Stegostoma tigrinum: one gene and its partner. The protein of the gene in region 2 interacts with the protein of the main gene of each other region in a pairwise test. Links are inferred from orthologs where the notes say so. Each region holds a gene or a part of one and is shown on either strand. Other genes may lie near its edges.

Region 1 (7,991 bases), on a different chromosome or scaffold from region 2:
CAACGGGCCGAATGGCCTGCTTCCACACTGTAGGGATTCCACAAAGTAGATGGACAGAAATTACTCTCAATGGTGAAATGATTCAAACAACAGAAAATACACATTTAAAGTGCATAGAGAAAGAACAAGGCTAAGACAGCATATTTTTAAAACACAGTGCGTGGTTAGGATCTAGAATCCACTACAATAACAGATTTTGGAGGCAGATTCAAGCAGCTGAAAAGTTTGCAGAGTTACAAGGAGGCGGCAGGGGTCAGTGCGTTATTCTGCTGTAATCATTCTGTAATTCTCCCCAAGCAAGTGCGCCTAACAAAATCCACACCACTTTTTAACCTGATTTTGTAATGAAGCTATCATCCTGTCACCTTCATCTGCAGTGAGAGACTTTGCAGAGTTTCTGCTCATATTCCTCTGAACACGGGATGAGATTCTATTTCGGTTAGACTGTTTAGAGATTAACTTGATGGGGATACGTCTTCGAACATCAATGCCACTCAGACATCCAGAACCATCTGTGCCTTGCAGATCTTTATCTTTTGAAAATAAAACAAAAAACGTCTTAAATACATGACTTTCTGCTTATGCGCAATACTGGCGGCTGGAGGTGGGGGAGTGCAAAGGGGGGAGGAAAGAATGGGTAGGGTAGGGTATGGGAGGGGTCTGGGGGAAAGGGTGCAGGGGAGAAAGTGGGATAAGAGGGCATCGTGGAAGAGGGAGAGGGCTATACAAGGGTGAGGGAAGAGGAGTCGGGGGGGGATCAGGGTGGGGTCGGGGGGGATCAGGGTGGGGATCAGCGGGTGGGAAGGAGATCGGGGGAGATGAGGGAGTGGGGGGGGGGAGATGAGGGAGTGGGGGGGGGAGATGAGGGAGTGGGGGGGGAGATGAGGGAGTGGGGGGGGAGATGAGGGAGTGGGGGGGGAGATGAGGGAGTGGGGGGGGGAGATGAGGGAGTGGGGGGGGGAGATGAGGGAGTGGGGGGGGGAGATGAGGGAGTGGGGGGGGGGAGATGAGGGAGTGGGGGGGGGGAGATGAGGGAGTGGGGGGGGGGAGATGAGGGAGTGGGGGGGGGAGATGAGGGAGTGGGGGGGGAGAGGAGGGAGTGGGGGGGGAGAGGAGGGAGTGGGGGGGGAGAGGAGGGAGTGGGGGGGGAGAGGAGGGAGTGGGGGGGGAGAGGAGGGAGTGGGGGGGGAGAGGAGGGAGTGGGGGGGGGAGAGGAGGGAGTGGGGGGGGAGAGGAGGGAGTGGGGGGGGAGAGGAGGGAGTGGGGGGGAGAGGAGGGAGTGGGGGGGGAGAGGAGGGAGTGGGGGGGGAGAGGAGGGAGTGGGGGGGGAGATGAGGGAGTGGGGGGGGGAGATGAGGGAGTGGGGGGGGGAGATGAGGGAGTGGGGGGGAGAGGAGGGAGTGGGGGGGAGAGGAGGGAGTGGGGGGGAGAGGAGGGAGTGGGGGGGGGAGAGGAGGGAGTGGGGGGGGGGGAGATGAGGGAGTGGGGGGGGGGAGATGAGGGAGTGGGGGGGGGGAGATGAGGGAGTGGGGGGGGGGAGATGAGGGAGTGGGGGGGGGGAGATGAGGGAGTGGGGGGGGGGAGATGAGGGAGTGGGGGGGGAGATGAGGGAGTGGGGGGGGGAGATGAGGGAGTGGGGGGGGGAGATGAGGGAGTGGGGGGGGAGATGAGGGAGTGGGGGGGGGAGATGAGGGGGAGGGAGGGAGATGAGGGGGGGGGGGGAGATGAGGGGGAGGGGGGGGAGATGAGGGGGAGGGGGGGGGAGATGAGGGGGAGGGGGGGAGATGAGGGGGAGGGGGGTGAGATGAGGGGTAGGGGGGGTGAGATGAGGGGTAGGGGGGGTGAGATGAGGGGTAGGGGGGGTGAGATGAGGGGGAGGGGGGGTGAGATGAGGGGGAGGGGGGGTGAGATGAGGGGGAGGGGGGGTGAGATGAGGGGTAGGGGGGGTGAGATGAGGGGTAGGGGGGGTGAGATGAGGGGTAGGGGGGGTGAGATGAGGGGTAGGGGGGGTGAGATGAGGGGTAGGGGGGGTGAGATGAGGGGGAGGGGGGGTGAGATGAGGGGGAGGGGGGGTGAGATGAGGGGGAGGGGGGGTGAGATGAGGGGGAGGGGGGGTGAGATGAGGGGGAGGGGGGGTGAGATGAGGGGGAGGGGGGGTGAGATGAGGGGGAGGGGGGGTGAGATGAGGGGGGGGTGAGATGAGGGGGGGGTGAGATGAGGGGGAGGGGGGGTGAGGGGGAGGGGGAGGTGAGATGAGGGGGAGGGGGGGTGAGATGAGGGGGAGGGGGGGTGAGATGAGGGGGAGGGGGGGTGAGATGAGGGGGAGGGGGGGTGAGATGAGGGGGAGGGGGGGTGAGATGAGGGGGAGGGGGGGTGAGATGAGGGGGAGGGGGAGTGAGATGAGGGGGAGGGGGGGTGAGATGAGGGGGAGGGGGGGTGAGATGAGGGGGAGGGGGGGTGAGATGAGGGGGAGGGGGGGTGAGATGAGGGGGAGGGGGGGTGAGATGAGGGGGAGGGGGGGTGAGATGAGGGGGAGGGGGGGTGAGGAGGGGGAGGGGGGTAGGTGAGGAGGGGGAGGGGGGTGAGATGAGGGAGTGGGGGGAGATGAGGGAGTGGGGGGAGATGAGGGAGTGGGGGGAGGTGAGGGAGTGGGGGGAGGTGAGGGAGTGGGGGGAGGTGAGGGAGTGGGGGGAGGTGAGGGAGTGGGGGGAGGTGAGGGAGTGGGGGGGGAGGTGAGGGAGTGGGGGGGGAGGTGAGGGAGTGGGGGGGGAGGTGAGGGAGTGGGGGGGGAGGTGAGGGAGTGGGGGGGGGAGGTGAGGGAGGGGGGGGGAGGTGAGGGAGTGGGGGGGGGAGGTGAGGGAGTGGGGGGGGGAGGTGAGGGAGTGGGGGGGGGGAGGTGAGGGAGTGGGGGGGGGAGGTGAGGGAGTGGGGGGGGGAGGTGAGGGAGTGGGGGGGGGAGGTGAGGGAGTGGGGGGGGGAGGTGAGGGAGTGGGGGGGGGAGGTGAGGGAGTGGGGGGGGGAGGTGAGGGAGTTGGGGGGGGGAGGTGAGGGAGTGGGGGGGGAGGTGAGGGAGTGGGGGGGGAGGTGAGGGAGTGGGGGGGGGAGGTGAGGGGGGAAGATGAAGGAGTGCGGGGGGGGTGGGATGAGAGTAGGCGATGATCAGGGTGTCGGAGCAAGATCAGGGCGATGGGGATAATCAAGGTGTAGAGAGTGCATGGGAGGAAGGAGGGGAGTGGTGATCACAGCGACAGGCGGTCCGGCACTTTACCGCGGGGACTCCGGGCGGTTTAGGCCGCTCTCGAGTAATCGTCAAGCCGCCTCAGTCCCGCTCCAGCCGGAGGTTACTCACAGTCGGGCGCGTTGACAGACTCGCCTCCCGCAGCAACCGGAGAGAACGCACGGGGCCCAAACCCGGCGCGAAGAAGAAAGGAAAAGCGAGAGAGGAAGGGAAAGCGGGAGAAAAACGTCCATTACCCTGATCCATGGTGAGAGGAGCATTGTGGGATTGGGGGCGTGGTGAGGGTCACCGGGGCAACAAGAGACGGGACGGGGCGGGGAGAACCGCAGCAATACACACGAGGGGGGGGGAGGAGGGGGGGGGAGGGGGGGGGAGGAGGGGAGGAGGGGGGGGGAGGGGGGGGGAGGAGGGGGGGGGGGGAGGGAGGGGGAGGAGGGGGGGGGGGGAGGGGGGGGGAGGAGGGGGGGGGGGGAGGGGGGGGGAGGAGGGGGGGGGGGAGGGGGGGGGGGGAGGGGGAGGGGGAGGGGGAGGGGGGGGGGGGGGGGAGGGGGGGGGGGGGAGGGGGAGGGGGAGGGGGGGGGGGGGAGGGGGAGGGGGAGGGGGGGGGGAGGGGGAGGGGGGGGGGGGGAGGGGGGGGGGGGGGGGGAGGGGGGGGGGAGGGGGAGGGGGAGGGGGGGGAGGGGGAGGGGGGGGAGGGGGAGGGGGAGGGGGGGGGGGGAGACAAGAGAGGGAGGGAGAGGTGGAGTGCGAGAGTGCGACAGAAGAAATAGAGAGAGAGGTGGAGTGAGAGAGCGCGAGAGGAGACATAAAGAGAGAGGTGCAGTGAGACGGTGCAAGAGAGGAGACATAGAGAGAGATGGAGTGAGAGAGTGCAAGAGAGGAGAAATAGAGAGAGAGGTGGAGTGAAAGAGTGCAAGAGAGGAGAAATAGATAGAGAGAGAGGTGGCGTGAGAGATGCAAGAGAGGAGAAATAGAGGAAGATGGAGTGAGAGAGTGCAAGAGAGGAGAAGTTGAGAGAGAGAGGTGGAGTGAGAGAGTGCAAGAGGGGAGAAATAGAGAGAGAGAGGTGGAGTGAGAGAGTGCAAGAGAGGAGAAATAGACAGAGAGGGGTGGAGTGAGAGAGTGCAAGAGAGGTGTAATAGAGAGCGAGAGAGAGATGGAGTGAGGGAGTGCAAGAGAGGAGAAATAGAGAGAGAGAGAGGTGGAGTGAGAGAGTGCAAGAGAGGTGTAATAGAGAGAGAGAGGTGGAGTGAGAGAGTGCTAGAGATTAGAAATAGAGAGGTGGAGTGAGAGAGTGCAATAGAGGAGAAATACACGGGGAGAGGTGGAGTGAGAGATGCAAGAGAGGAGAAATAGAGAGAGAGAGGTTGAGTGAGAGAGTGCAAGAGAGGAGAAATAGAGAGAGTGAGAGGTGGAGTGAGAGAGTGCAAGTGAGGAGAAGTGGAGAGACAGAGAGGTGGAGTGAGAGAGTGCAAGAGAGGAGAAATAGAGATGGAGTGAGCGAGTGCAAGAGAGGAGAAATGGAGGGAGAGAGAGAGAGAGGTGGAGTGAGAGAGCGCGAGAGAGGAGAAATAGAGAGAGATGGAGTGAGAGAGTGCAAGAGAGGAGAAGTCGAGAGAGAGGTGGAGTGAAAGAGTGCAAGAGAGGAGAAATAGACGGGGAGAGGTGGAGTGAGAGATGTAAGAGAGGAGAAATAGAAAGAGAGACGTGGAGTGAGCGAGTGCAGGTGAGGAGAAATAGCGAGAGAGAGGTGGAGTGAGAGAGTGCAAGTGAGGAGAAATAGAGAGAGAGGGAGGTGGAGTGAGACATGCAAGAGAGAAGAAATATAAAGAGGTGGAGTGAGAGAGTGCAAGAGAGGAGAAGTGGAGAGACAGAGAGTGCAAGAGAGGAGAAATAGAGGGGGAGAGGTGGAGTGAGAGAGTGCAAGAGATGAGAAATAGAGAGAGAGGGGTGGAGTGAGAGAGTGGAAGAGAGGAGAAATGGACAGAGAGTGAGGTGGAGTGAGAGAGTGCGAGAGAGGAGAAATAGAGAGAGTGAGAGAGCTGGAGTGAGAGAGTGCAAGAGAGGAGAAGTAGAGAGAGGTGGAGTGAGAGAGTGCAAGAGAGGAGAAATAGAGGCTGAGAGCTCGAGTGAGAGAGTGCAAGCGAAGAGAAATAGAGAGAGAGAGGTGGAGTGAGAGATGCAAGAGAGGAGAAATAGAGAGAGAGGTGGAGTGAGAGAGCGCAAGAGAGGAGAAATAGAGAGAGAGAGAGGTGGAGTGAGGGAGTGCAAGAGAGGAGCAATAGAGAGAGAGAGGGACGTGGAGTGAGACATGCAAGAGAGAAGAAATAGAGAGAGGTGGTGTGAGAGAGTGCAAGAGAGGAGAAATAGAGAGAGAGAGAGAGAGAGAGAGAGCTGGAGTGAGAGAGTGCAAGAGAGGAGAAGTAGAGAGAGAGAGGTCGAGTGAGAGATGCAAGAGAGGAGAAATAGAGAGAGAGAGGTCGAGTGAGAGATGCAAGAGAGGAGAAATAGAGAGAGAGAGAGAGAGAGAGGTGGACTGTGAGAGTGCGTGAGGAGAAATAGAGAGAGAGAGAGAAGTGGAGTGAGAGAGTGCGAGAGAGGAGAAATAGAGCGAGAGAGAGAGATGGAGTGAGAGAGTGCAAGAGAGAAGAAATAGAGGTGGAGAGAGGTGGAGTTAGAGATGCAAGAGAGGAGAAATAGAGAGAGTGAGAGGTGGAGTGAGAGAATGCAAGTGAGGAGAAGTGGAGAGACAGAGAGGTGGAGTGAGCGAGTGCAAGAGAGGAGAAATGGAGGGAGAGAGAGAGCGAGATGGAGTGAGAGAGTGCAAGAGAGGAGAAATAGAGAGAGAGAGGTGGAGTGAGAGAGCGCGAGAGAGGAGAAATAGAGAGAGATGGAGTGAGAGAGTGCAAGTGAGGAGAAATAGAGAGAGAGGGAGGTGGAGTGAGACATGCAAGAGAGAAGAAATATAAAGAGGTGGAGTGAGAGAGTGCAAGAGAGGAGAAGTGGAGAGACAGAGTGCAAGAGAGGAGAAATAGAGGGGGAGAGGTGGAGTGAGAGAGTGCAAGAGAGGAGAAGTGGAGAGACAGAGAGAGTGCAAGAGAGGAGAAATAGAGGGGGAGAGGTGGAGTGAGAGAGTGCAAGAGAGGAGAAATAGAGAGAGATGGAGTGACCGAGTGCAAGAGAGCAGAAATAGAGAGAGAGAGAGGTGGAGTGAGAGAGTGCAAGAGAGAAGAAATAGAGGGGGAGAGAGGTGGAGTGAGAGATGCAAGAGAGGAGAAATAGAGAGAGAGGGATGGAGTGAGAGAGTGCAGGAGAGAAGAAATAGAGGGGGAGAGAGGTGGAGTGAGAGATGCAAGAGAGGAGAAATAGAGGGGGAGAGGTGGAGTGAGAGAGTGCAAGAGAGGAGAAATAGAGAGAGATGGAGTGAGAGAGTGCAAGAGAGAAGAAATAGAGAGAGAGAGAGAGAGAGGTGGCGTGAGAGATGCAAGAGAGGAGAAATAGAGAAAGATGGAGTGAGAGAGTGCAAGAGAGGAGAAGTTGAGAGAGAGAGGTGGAGTGAGAGAGTGCAAGAGGGGAGAAATAGAGAGAGAGAGGTGGAGTGAGAGAGTGCAAGAGAGGAGAAATAGACAGAGAGGGGTGGAGTGAGAGAGTGCAAGAGAGGTGTAATAGAGAGCGAGAGAGAGATGGAGTGAGGGAGTGCAAGAGAGGAGAAATAGAGAGAGAGAGAGGTGGAGTGAGAGAGTGCAAGAGAGGTGTAATAGAGAGAGAGAGGTGGAGTGAGAGAGTGCTAGAGATTAGAAATAGAGAGGTGGAGTGAGAGAGTGCAATAGAGGAGAAATACACGGGGAGAGGTGGAGTGAGAGATGCAAGAGAGGAGAAATAGAGAGAGAGAGGTTGAGTGAGAGAGTGCAAGAGAGGAGAAATAGAGAGAGAGAGAGGTGGCGTGAGAGATGCAAGAGAGGAGAAATAGAGAGAGAGAGAGAGAGAGGTGGAGTGAGAGAGTGCAAGAGAGGAGAAGTGGAGAGAGAGAGAGATTGAGTGAGAGAGTGCGAGTGAGGAGAAATAGAGAGAGAGAGAGATGGAGTGAGAGCGCAAGAGAGGAAAAATAGAGAGAGGTGGAGTGAGAGAGTGCAGGAGAGGAGAAATAGAGACAGAGAGAGAGGTGGAGTGAGAGAGTGCAAGAGAGGAGAAATAGAGAGTGAGGTGGAGTGAGAGTATGCAAGAGAGGAGAAATAGAGAGAGAGGGGTGGAGTGAGAGAGTGCGAGAGAGGAGAAATACACGGGGAGAGGTGGAGTGAGAGATGCAAGGGAGGAGAAATACAGAGAGAGGGAGAGAGAGAGGTGGAGTGAGAGATGCAAGAGAGGAGAAACAGAGAGTGATGGTGTGATAGAATGCAAGAGAGGAGAAATAGAGAGAGAGAGAGAGGTGGTGTGAGAGAGTGCAAGAGAGGAGAAATAGAGAGAGAGAGGGGTGGAGTGAGGGAGTGCAAGAGAGGAGCAATAGAGAGAGAGGGACGTGGAGTGAGACATGCAAGAGAGAAGAAATAGAGAGAGGTGGTGTGAGAGAGTGCAAGAGAGGAGAAATAGAGGTGGTGTGAGAGAGTGCAAGAGAGGAGAAATAGAGAGAGAGAGGTCGAGTGAGAGATGCAAGAGAGGAGAAATAGAGAGAGAGGTGGAGTTAGAGAGTACGAGAGAGGGGAAATAGAGCGAGAGAGAGAGAAAGATGGAGTGAGAGAGTGCAAGAGAGAAGAAA
Region 2 (7,863 bases):
GTGAAGAGAAGACATTATTTTAAATCCTGAGTGTACAGCTAAGCCCAAGAGGCCAAAGGATTTCTGTTATAGACTGTGTTAGCTAACCTCAGAGTAGTAGTTTAAATGATAAAATTGACATATGCTCTGCTTCGCTCAGAGAGGGGAACAACAAGACAAAACTAAAAAACATACAAATTTACTTAGGATAATGACAAATACAAGAGGTTGAAAACAGAGGCAATTAACAAAACAACAGCCTGCCCAAAAAAAGATGTATCAAAATTAATCAAATGTATTAAGTTTTAAATTAATTTTAAAATTAAATTTAAATTATTACAGGGTAGAAAGGATTTCTAGGAAAAAGCATCAGCTCGTAGCTCAATATCAGACACTCAAGCATCATAAGCATGCATTTGGAGACACACCACTGACTATTTCCACTATAACTCAAGTTTTGGCTTACATGATAAAGGCATACAGAGTGAAATGAAGTGGCAAGACTTGTCATTTCCCACAGTATATGAGCTATCATACATTACATCAAAAAACATTGAAACAAAAGTACATTCATCTCTAAAAGCCAAGATAACAACGTGTGGAGCTGGATGAACACAGGAGGCTGAGCAGGAATGCTGACGTTTTGGGCCTAGACCCCTCATCAGAAAAATCGTTTTTTTTATTTCAAAAGAATGAAGGAGATTATTAGTCTTATTCGTGTTTAGGCCCACAATGTCAGCTTTCCTGCTCCTGAGATGCTGCTTGGCCTGCTGTGTACATCCAGCCTCTCATCTTGTTATCTCAGATTCTCCAGCATCTGCAGTTCCTATCATCTCTAAAAGCCAAAATACCAGTTGCAGTAAATGAAAAGGAACCATTTTCCTTGTTATACAACTCTTCACGCTTTTGTTGTCCTGATCACCGTGAAATGACGAACATAAACAAAAATCACGAGAATTTAAATTGACTAGAGACAAACATAGTAAAACAATTGGCAAGAAAACAGACACGCAAGATTGGACACATTATTTTGTCATGTGTTCAGAAAGTCTTTACAGCATTTTGACTACCCAATTCATGCATAATAACGAATCTCTTCAACGCACACAAATCCCTCTTCACAATAAACCACTTCATCTGCATGCTTTGTAGTCTTGGTTTGGAATAATATTTGAGTCATTTATATTTATCCTGATAATACAGAGAGGGCATGCGCATAAACTGTGTACAGACAGCAAATCTCGTTCATTGACATTGGAATGTAGCACTTGATTGAATAACTGGAAAAAGTTTTTTTGTTGTCAATTTGACTTCTATAAATAAGTCAGAGTGCAATGTGACACCAAATTAAAATGTGTTGATGAGACAGCAGTAATTTCTGACAGGCCACCCACACGAGTTTTTAAGAAAATGTCTTGGCTGTTTCCACAATGAAAGCCATAAGTACGTTCCCCAAAGGGACCTCAGAAACTTTGGAGAACAAATCTCAACTGAAATCCAAGGACTTCAAAGTTCAGTTTCTCCAAAGACTGACCAATTAATTTCAGTCGAGGGACAGAAAACCTTTGATAGAAAGTATTTGTTTTAGTGGCCCTATTCTCCGACAGGCAGAAGACATTTTCAGGTGAGCTGGACTTTGTTTTGTGAAACTTGGGTGGCATCCATTTTGTAAAATTAAATCAAGTCATCACACAGGGGATTTCAACAAGTAGAGAAAATAAGGAGCAAACAATGGAATCAATTACCAATTTCCCCTGAATGAAGTTAGCAGGAATTTATAGAATGAAAAATAGGACAGCTGGTTAAAACGTAAAAGAGATAATTCAGTGCTTTAAAAGGGATCACCTAGTTGGTAAAACGCATTATAATCTGATCGGGGCTGTTTGGAAGCTAAAAGAGTGTTCCGGGGCTTTTCCCAGAAAATTAAATTAATTTTGTACAAGCCTTAGGGTGATTTTGACAACGTGTTTCTCCGACTTAGCTGTACTGAGCAGATGTTAGTAACAGTAATTCACTGACCACAGCATTGTGCACCATGATTAGTTAAAATTTTGTAGAGAAATTAAAATAATATCTATGACACACACTCGAGACCTCTTTAGATTAGATCAGGGGGTTGTTAGTGTAGAAACGCTGATAGAACTCTCTCATCCGAGCTCTCCTTCCTTTCACTGCACTCGAAACACAAACAGTCCACTAGGAAACAAACAGGGTCCCCACTCATGTTAAAACCTGAAATTTCCTTGCCAATATTGGAGAATTTGGGAATATAAAAGGTAGCACGGCTATAGTTGAAGATTGAACAAGAAGTTGAACAAAAGGCGAGACCAGCAGAATCGAAAGTCCAGCCACCGCCCTCAACACAGGCAGCAGATATTCTCTGTGAATGTATTTATCACCAATTCCTCCGGTAAAAGAGAGGGGGGTTGCGAAAAGAAACGGGATCTCGGATTCTTCTACAACCGAGGGCACTTTTAAAAAAAATTCAATTCCTTCTCACTGGATCCCTTTTTCTTAGGGATCCGGAAAGGATTCTCGATCCCTTTTCTGTGTTCCCACCCCCAAGGTTCTCAGTCTCGCTTCCGCATTTCTCCGTGTGAAATCCCCGCCGATCCTCACGTACTTTCCTGAACTCTTACCTCTGCCCAGAACTTGTCCCACCTCCACTGACGGCTCCCTGAAAGTGTAGCTCTTTGGCTCGAACCCTTTACATCCAGTCGATGCCTCGCCGCTCCAAACCTGTGGATACGGACAGGTTAACATCAAATAAAAGTACCAAACACAAATCCATCCTTCCCCTCCGTTTACAGCTCACACCGGGTCCCCCGCCGCGGCAACGGGGATAATTCGCACTCGCTCGGATGAAAGCTCAGCCGATAATGAAATTGATACGAAACTGAAGATATGGAGTGCAGGGCTAGGGGAACCGTGTAACAAACCGGAGGTCTTGCCCCCCTCCCTTCGCCAGAATTCAGATGTACACGGTCTAACCTCGTGAGAAGTAGAACTCACTCACCTGGAGCAGGAGGGTGACTATCCCCAGAAACGACAGCCTGTAACTCCCCATTGGGTTACGAGTCAGTTTCCAAAACGCGTTGTGCCTGTTGCCTCTGAATTCCACCTCCTCGTTCTCACTGACTTTCCCCTTCTCTCCGATCACCATCCTTCTCCAAAACTGGAAGCCAATCGCTGCCAATCCAGGTGACGTCTCCAGGTGAGTTTCTCTCTCATTGGCTGACGCCCGGATGCTTGTATCCAATTTTGGGTAAAGCTGGCGTCAGGTAAAGGCGGCGGCGACGCACCGACGCTCTCAGCTCCCAGTGATTGAAACTGTTGTAATAAATTCCCCCACTCCCAGTTTCAGGGGAAGGTGGCGGAAATGATGCCGTTTACTGGAAGGAGCGGGCATCAAAATAACTTGCTAAGTGTAAACTATCTGGACAGCGGCCTCTTGGAAAGTTGGCATCAATCCCATTTGTGTACTGTGGATCTGGGCAGCGCCTGCATTAATGTCGAGTTTGACCCCAGCACAGATCGGTGAAAAAGGAGGTTACATTCCAAACAAGGGTGACTGGAGTAGACAGTGCTAACTTAAGGCAACTGTTCTGCATATTTGGAGAGAATTCAAGTTCAGATATTGTCTATCGTGAAGCCATTCTAGATGATGAAATGTATAGGAGTCATTTCTCTGTAAACCAGAATTTCTAGAGAGGAGGGCAGTCTAGCGAAATTTAGTCTTTCATCAACCCTCCCTTGTTTCTGGCGTGGATCAGCAGCCCCGATGTTAATTGAGTCAACTTTAGCAGATTCTCCTTCATTAGAAGTTAATCTCGAAATCTCCCCGTCCTTTTGTACCCCTTTCAGGACACTCCTTACAACTGTTAAACGTGCTTTAGAAATACATGCCGTTGTTTCAAATACAGAAAACCTTATTCAGTGTTTTTTTTTCCAACCAGGACATCATCATGCAACTATTGTGTCTGTATATAAACACTTGCTGCTTGACAGTAGAGTCCGCAGGTACATAGGATAGTGAAGACGGGATTTAGCCTGCTTGCCTTTGTTGCTTTGAGTAAAGGAGTTGGGAGGTCATGATACTGATGTGCAGAACGTTGGTTGGGGCTCTTTTGGAATACTGCATTCGATGTTGTTAAAGTTTTAAGTGTTCAGTAAAGATTTACAAAGATGCTGCCAGGGTTGGAGTGTTTGAGCAATAGGGAGAGGCTAAATGGACTGGGGCTATTTTCCCTGGAGCATCAGAGGCTTATAGAAGTTTGTAAAATGATGAGGAGGCATAGATATAGTGAATAGACAAGGTCATTTCCCCAGGGTGGAGGAGTCCAAAACTGGAGGGCATAGGTTTTATGTGAGGAGAAAGATTTAAAAGGGACCTACGGGGCAACATTTTCACCCAGAGGGTGGTGTGTGCATGGAATGAGCTGCCAGAGGAAGTGATGGAGGCTGTTACAATGACAACATTTAAAAGGCTTCTGCGTGGGTATATGAATAGGAAGGGTTAAGAGAGATACGGGCCAAAAGCTGTCAAATGGGATTAGATAAATTCAGGAATAGTAGGAACTGCTGATGCTGGAGTCTGAGGTAACAAGGTGTGGAGCTGGAGGAACACAGCAGGCCACGCAGCATCAGAGAAGCTTTCCTGCTTCTCTGATGCTGCCTGGGCTGCCATGTTCCTCCAGCTCCACACCTAGATAAATTCAGGATATCTGGTAGGCATAGACGAGTTGGACGAAAGGGTCTATTTCCATGCTGTATGACTCTATTTAGTAGATATCTGTGACATTTCATCATAGCTAAAATTTAAAAGGCAGTAAATGTAAATAATTTCTTCCTTTATTGAACTGCTGCAGTCTGTGTAATCAAAGTAAACCACCTATACTGTTAGGGTGGGAGTTCCATGGTAATGACCCAGGGACAGTGAAGCAACAGCAATACATTTCCAAGTCAAGAGAGTATGTGTTTTGAAGGGAATTTGAAGGTGGTGATGTCCTCCCACATCTGCTAAATCTGCAGTAGAGTTATCTCCCTAAAGGGCGTAGACCTGGATTTGTAGGTTGCAATTGACAGAAAATGCTCCCAAATTCATTTATATGTAAAATCACAAACAAGTAGTCACAAATTGACCTCAGAGTACATCTACTTAGATTACTTCCACTCTGGGAATCACTGGACAATGGCTTCAAAAGGATATATCCTGTTAAGTAGAGTGAAACAATGTACTGGCTGCAGCTGGAGGCTGGTGGTATGGCAGTGAGGCAGTGGAAGAGGACTGGGACTTTGCAGAGATCGAAGGGAATAAAGAGGGGTAATGCATTAGAATCAACACAGACATATCTTGTTGGTACCTTGCCCAGAGGACTATTAGTTATGTCAGCAAGATTTTCAGCAGGAAGTGTTGGGATTGGTGAGCACGCAGCCAAACAAGGATGATGTAGTTCGAGTTCTTGTGGTCAATCACACATTTATGAGGGTTTTGGCTGAGAAATTGGATCATTCCTCAATTGAGGCGTGTTCCAGATGCAGCATTGACTGCATGCAATGTAAGCAACCAGTGGGAAGGCCACAAAACATTGAGCACTTATATACTAATGAGGAAGACCAATGTCAGGCGTGGCTGAAAAATGAGAACTGTACAAATAAGCTTTCAGGCCTTGCTCTGTTTACGGTGTGGAGTGAATCAATAAAAATATTTTTCAATGTGTTTACAACGTTGTTAGAAATAGCAAACAGAGGAAATCTTTATCAATATATTTGGATGTCACCACATGGAGTCTATGTACCAGAGGAAACATTCTCTAAACTATTTAAGAACGATGCAGTTAAAGTTTCTGTGATCAACTAATGTGTCTGTGAGGATGTGGCTTTTGGTGTGAAATGTAATCCTGAAACAGTTGCTGCGCTGCATCTAATCCAGAAATGGAAAGAGAAATGATGCTTTTGTAGCCATGCTGATTGGAAAGTTAATCAACAGGGCATTTTTATCTATCTTTACCCAAAGCTTCAACTGAGTTGCTCACACAGTGACACTTGCCTGTTGCGAATGCAAGAATCTTTGCACTGCCTAAATCACCAACATTGCTGATGAAGGAGGAAATTGAACATGCCTGTGTGTGTACACTTCCTAGTCCCTGCCACTTTCTATTTGCAGTTTTTCAATTTTACCCTAGATATTCTGAAATTGGGACAGAATAAACATAGTTATTAGCTTGTAGGGTATATTTGTACACTCACTGTTTAGGATTGGCAGATGCCTGGATTGGGGAGCAAAAAAGTCAGTCTTAATACATATTGATCCTGGTATGTGGGGTTGGGAGCCTGTTTTGATTCTAACACCGATGTGTCAGTACTTAGAAAGCCTTTCCAGCTTACCACATCTCTGTGCAAAATTTAATTCTGTAGCTGGCTTGGGATCTTAAGGAATGCCTAAGATTAAAAAAATTCTGAATTCCCTTTACCAAAGCAAACATTAACATTGAATTTGATCATTTTCTTATGAAAATTGTTGCTGTAATGGGATGGGGTAGGAATATTCCTCTCCCCTGCGCCAGTGTACTAACACCTGATCTCATGAGCTCTTGCTGCAGTCCTGTGAAAGGAATTTCACAGTTTGCAACACAGATTATTGTGCAATATATCAGCTTACTTTGAAGTTGTTGGTGCCACATTAGGCTCTTTTCCAACACTTTGTGCTTTGTGTTCTTGTTAGAGAATTGGTTTCTATCTGCAGGCTGACTCAACAGTACCCTATTACTTGCATGCCTGTACATGTAGCATATGACCTAGTAAAAAAATTACATATAGTATTATAAAATAGTCTTCAAGTCAAGAATTGGCAGGTGCTGTATTTTCAAGGGTGTGCCATTTACATGATAAATAAAATTGTGTCCTCCCTGCTCCAGCAAGGCTGCATAGATCATATACAACTATATAAAGCTGAAGTTGTCCAATATTTGTCTCTTAACTGTTACTACCAAAACCAAATTGCTTTGTACCTCATAAAATGATTAGTGTAATCACTGACTGGAATACTTTTGAATGCTTGGAAGAAGAGGTCAGGTTTTACATAGATGTAAGCCAAATTTCTTGTCAATCACTGAAACAATCTAGTATAATCAGTCATAATTCTGATGTTTGTGCAGATACTTGTCACTATTCACAGGCAATCCTTAACAGATATCCATCCCAATAATTAATCATCAGTCTAAAATAATTTACTGCACCATTTTTAGAATGTTTTTTCTTATTAATCATGTCAAGCTGTAGAATCTTGAGATGAAACAAAAATCTTGCCATTTATTAGACTTTAAGATGTGCCTCAAACAACATCTTCCCGGTGCTTGAATGTACACAATTATGGTGTAGTGGTGATGTCAGTGCGATAGTAATCTAGTACTTGAATTCAGTATTCTGGCAGATGATGACATTGTAATTCAATAAAATCCTAGAATAAAAAGCTATCATTAATGGTGACAGTATAACCACTGTCCTTTAGTCGTCACAAAAAAAACATGGATCACAAATGTGCTTTAGGGAAGGACATCTGCCATTCTTACCTGGTCTGGCCTACAGTAATGTGATTGACTCTTAACTGCTGTCTGGGCAATTAGGAATGGGCAATAAATTCTGGCCTAGGCAGTGATGCCTATATGAATAAACAAAAAAATCCAAATCTTAATTAGCCACAGAGTTTACTTATGTAAGACCAACGGAGGATTAGATAGGGTGGACAGTGAGAGTCTTTTTCCGAGGATGATGACTTCAGCTTATACGAGGGGGCATAGCTACAAACTGAGGGGTGAAAGATTTAAGACAGATGTCAGAGGCAGGTTCTTTACTCAGAGAGTGGTAAGGGTGTGGAACGCCCTG

Evidence for each region. The genes of interacting proteins can lie anywhere in the genome.
Region 1: the proteins of cdh31 (region 2) and E3 ubiquitin-protein ligase Hakai interact in a two-hybrid assay, tested with the Homo sapiens proteins (2 studies listed by BioGRID, with this or other methods). The link is inferred for Stegostoma tigrinum from reciprocal best matches to the Homo sapiens genes CDH1 and CBLL1.

The regions. Positions count from the first base shown.
Region 1 is NC_081378.1:53,897,769-53,905,759, forward strand, and holds the start of E3 ubiquitin-protein ligase Hakai, read right to left. Parts: upstream 3,518-7,991; 5' UTR 3,485-3,517; coding exon 3,475-3,484; intron 3,377-3,474; exon of another isoform or gene 3,269-3,376; intron 534-3,268; coding exon 366-533; intron 1-365. UniProt on the Homo sapiens protein: E3 ubiquitin-protein ligase that mediates ubiquitination of several tyrosine-phosphorylated Src substrates, including CDH1, CTTN and DOK1. Targets CDH1 for endocytosis and degradation.
Region 2 is NC_081369.1:40,081,829-40,089,691, reverse strand, and holds the start of cdh31 (B-cadherin), read right to left. Parts: upstream 3,237-7,863; 5' UTR 3,143-3,236; coding exon 2,996-3,142; intron 2,719-2,995; coding exon 2,619-2,718; intron 1-2,618.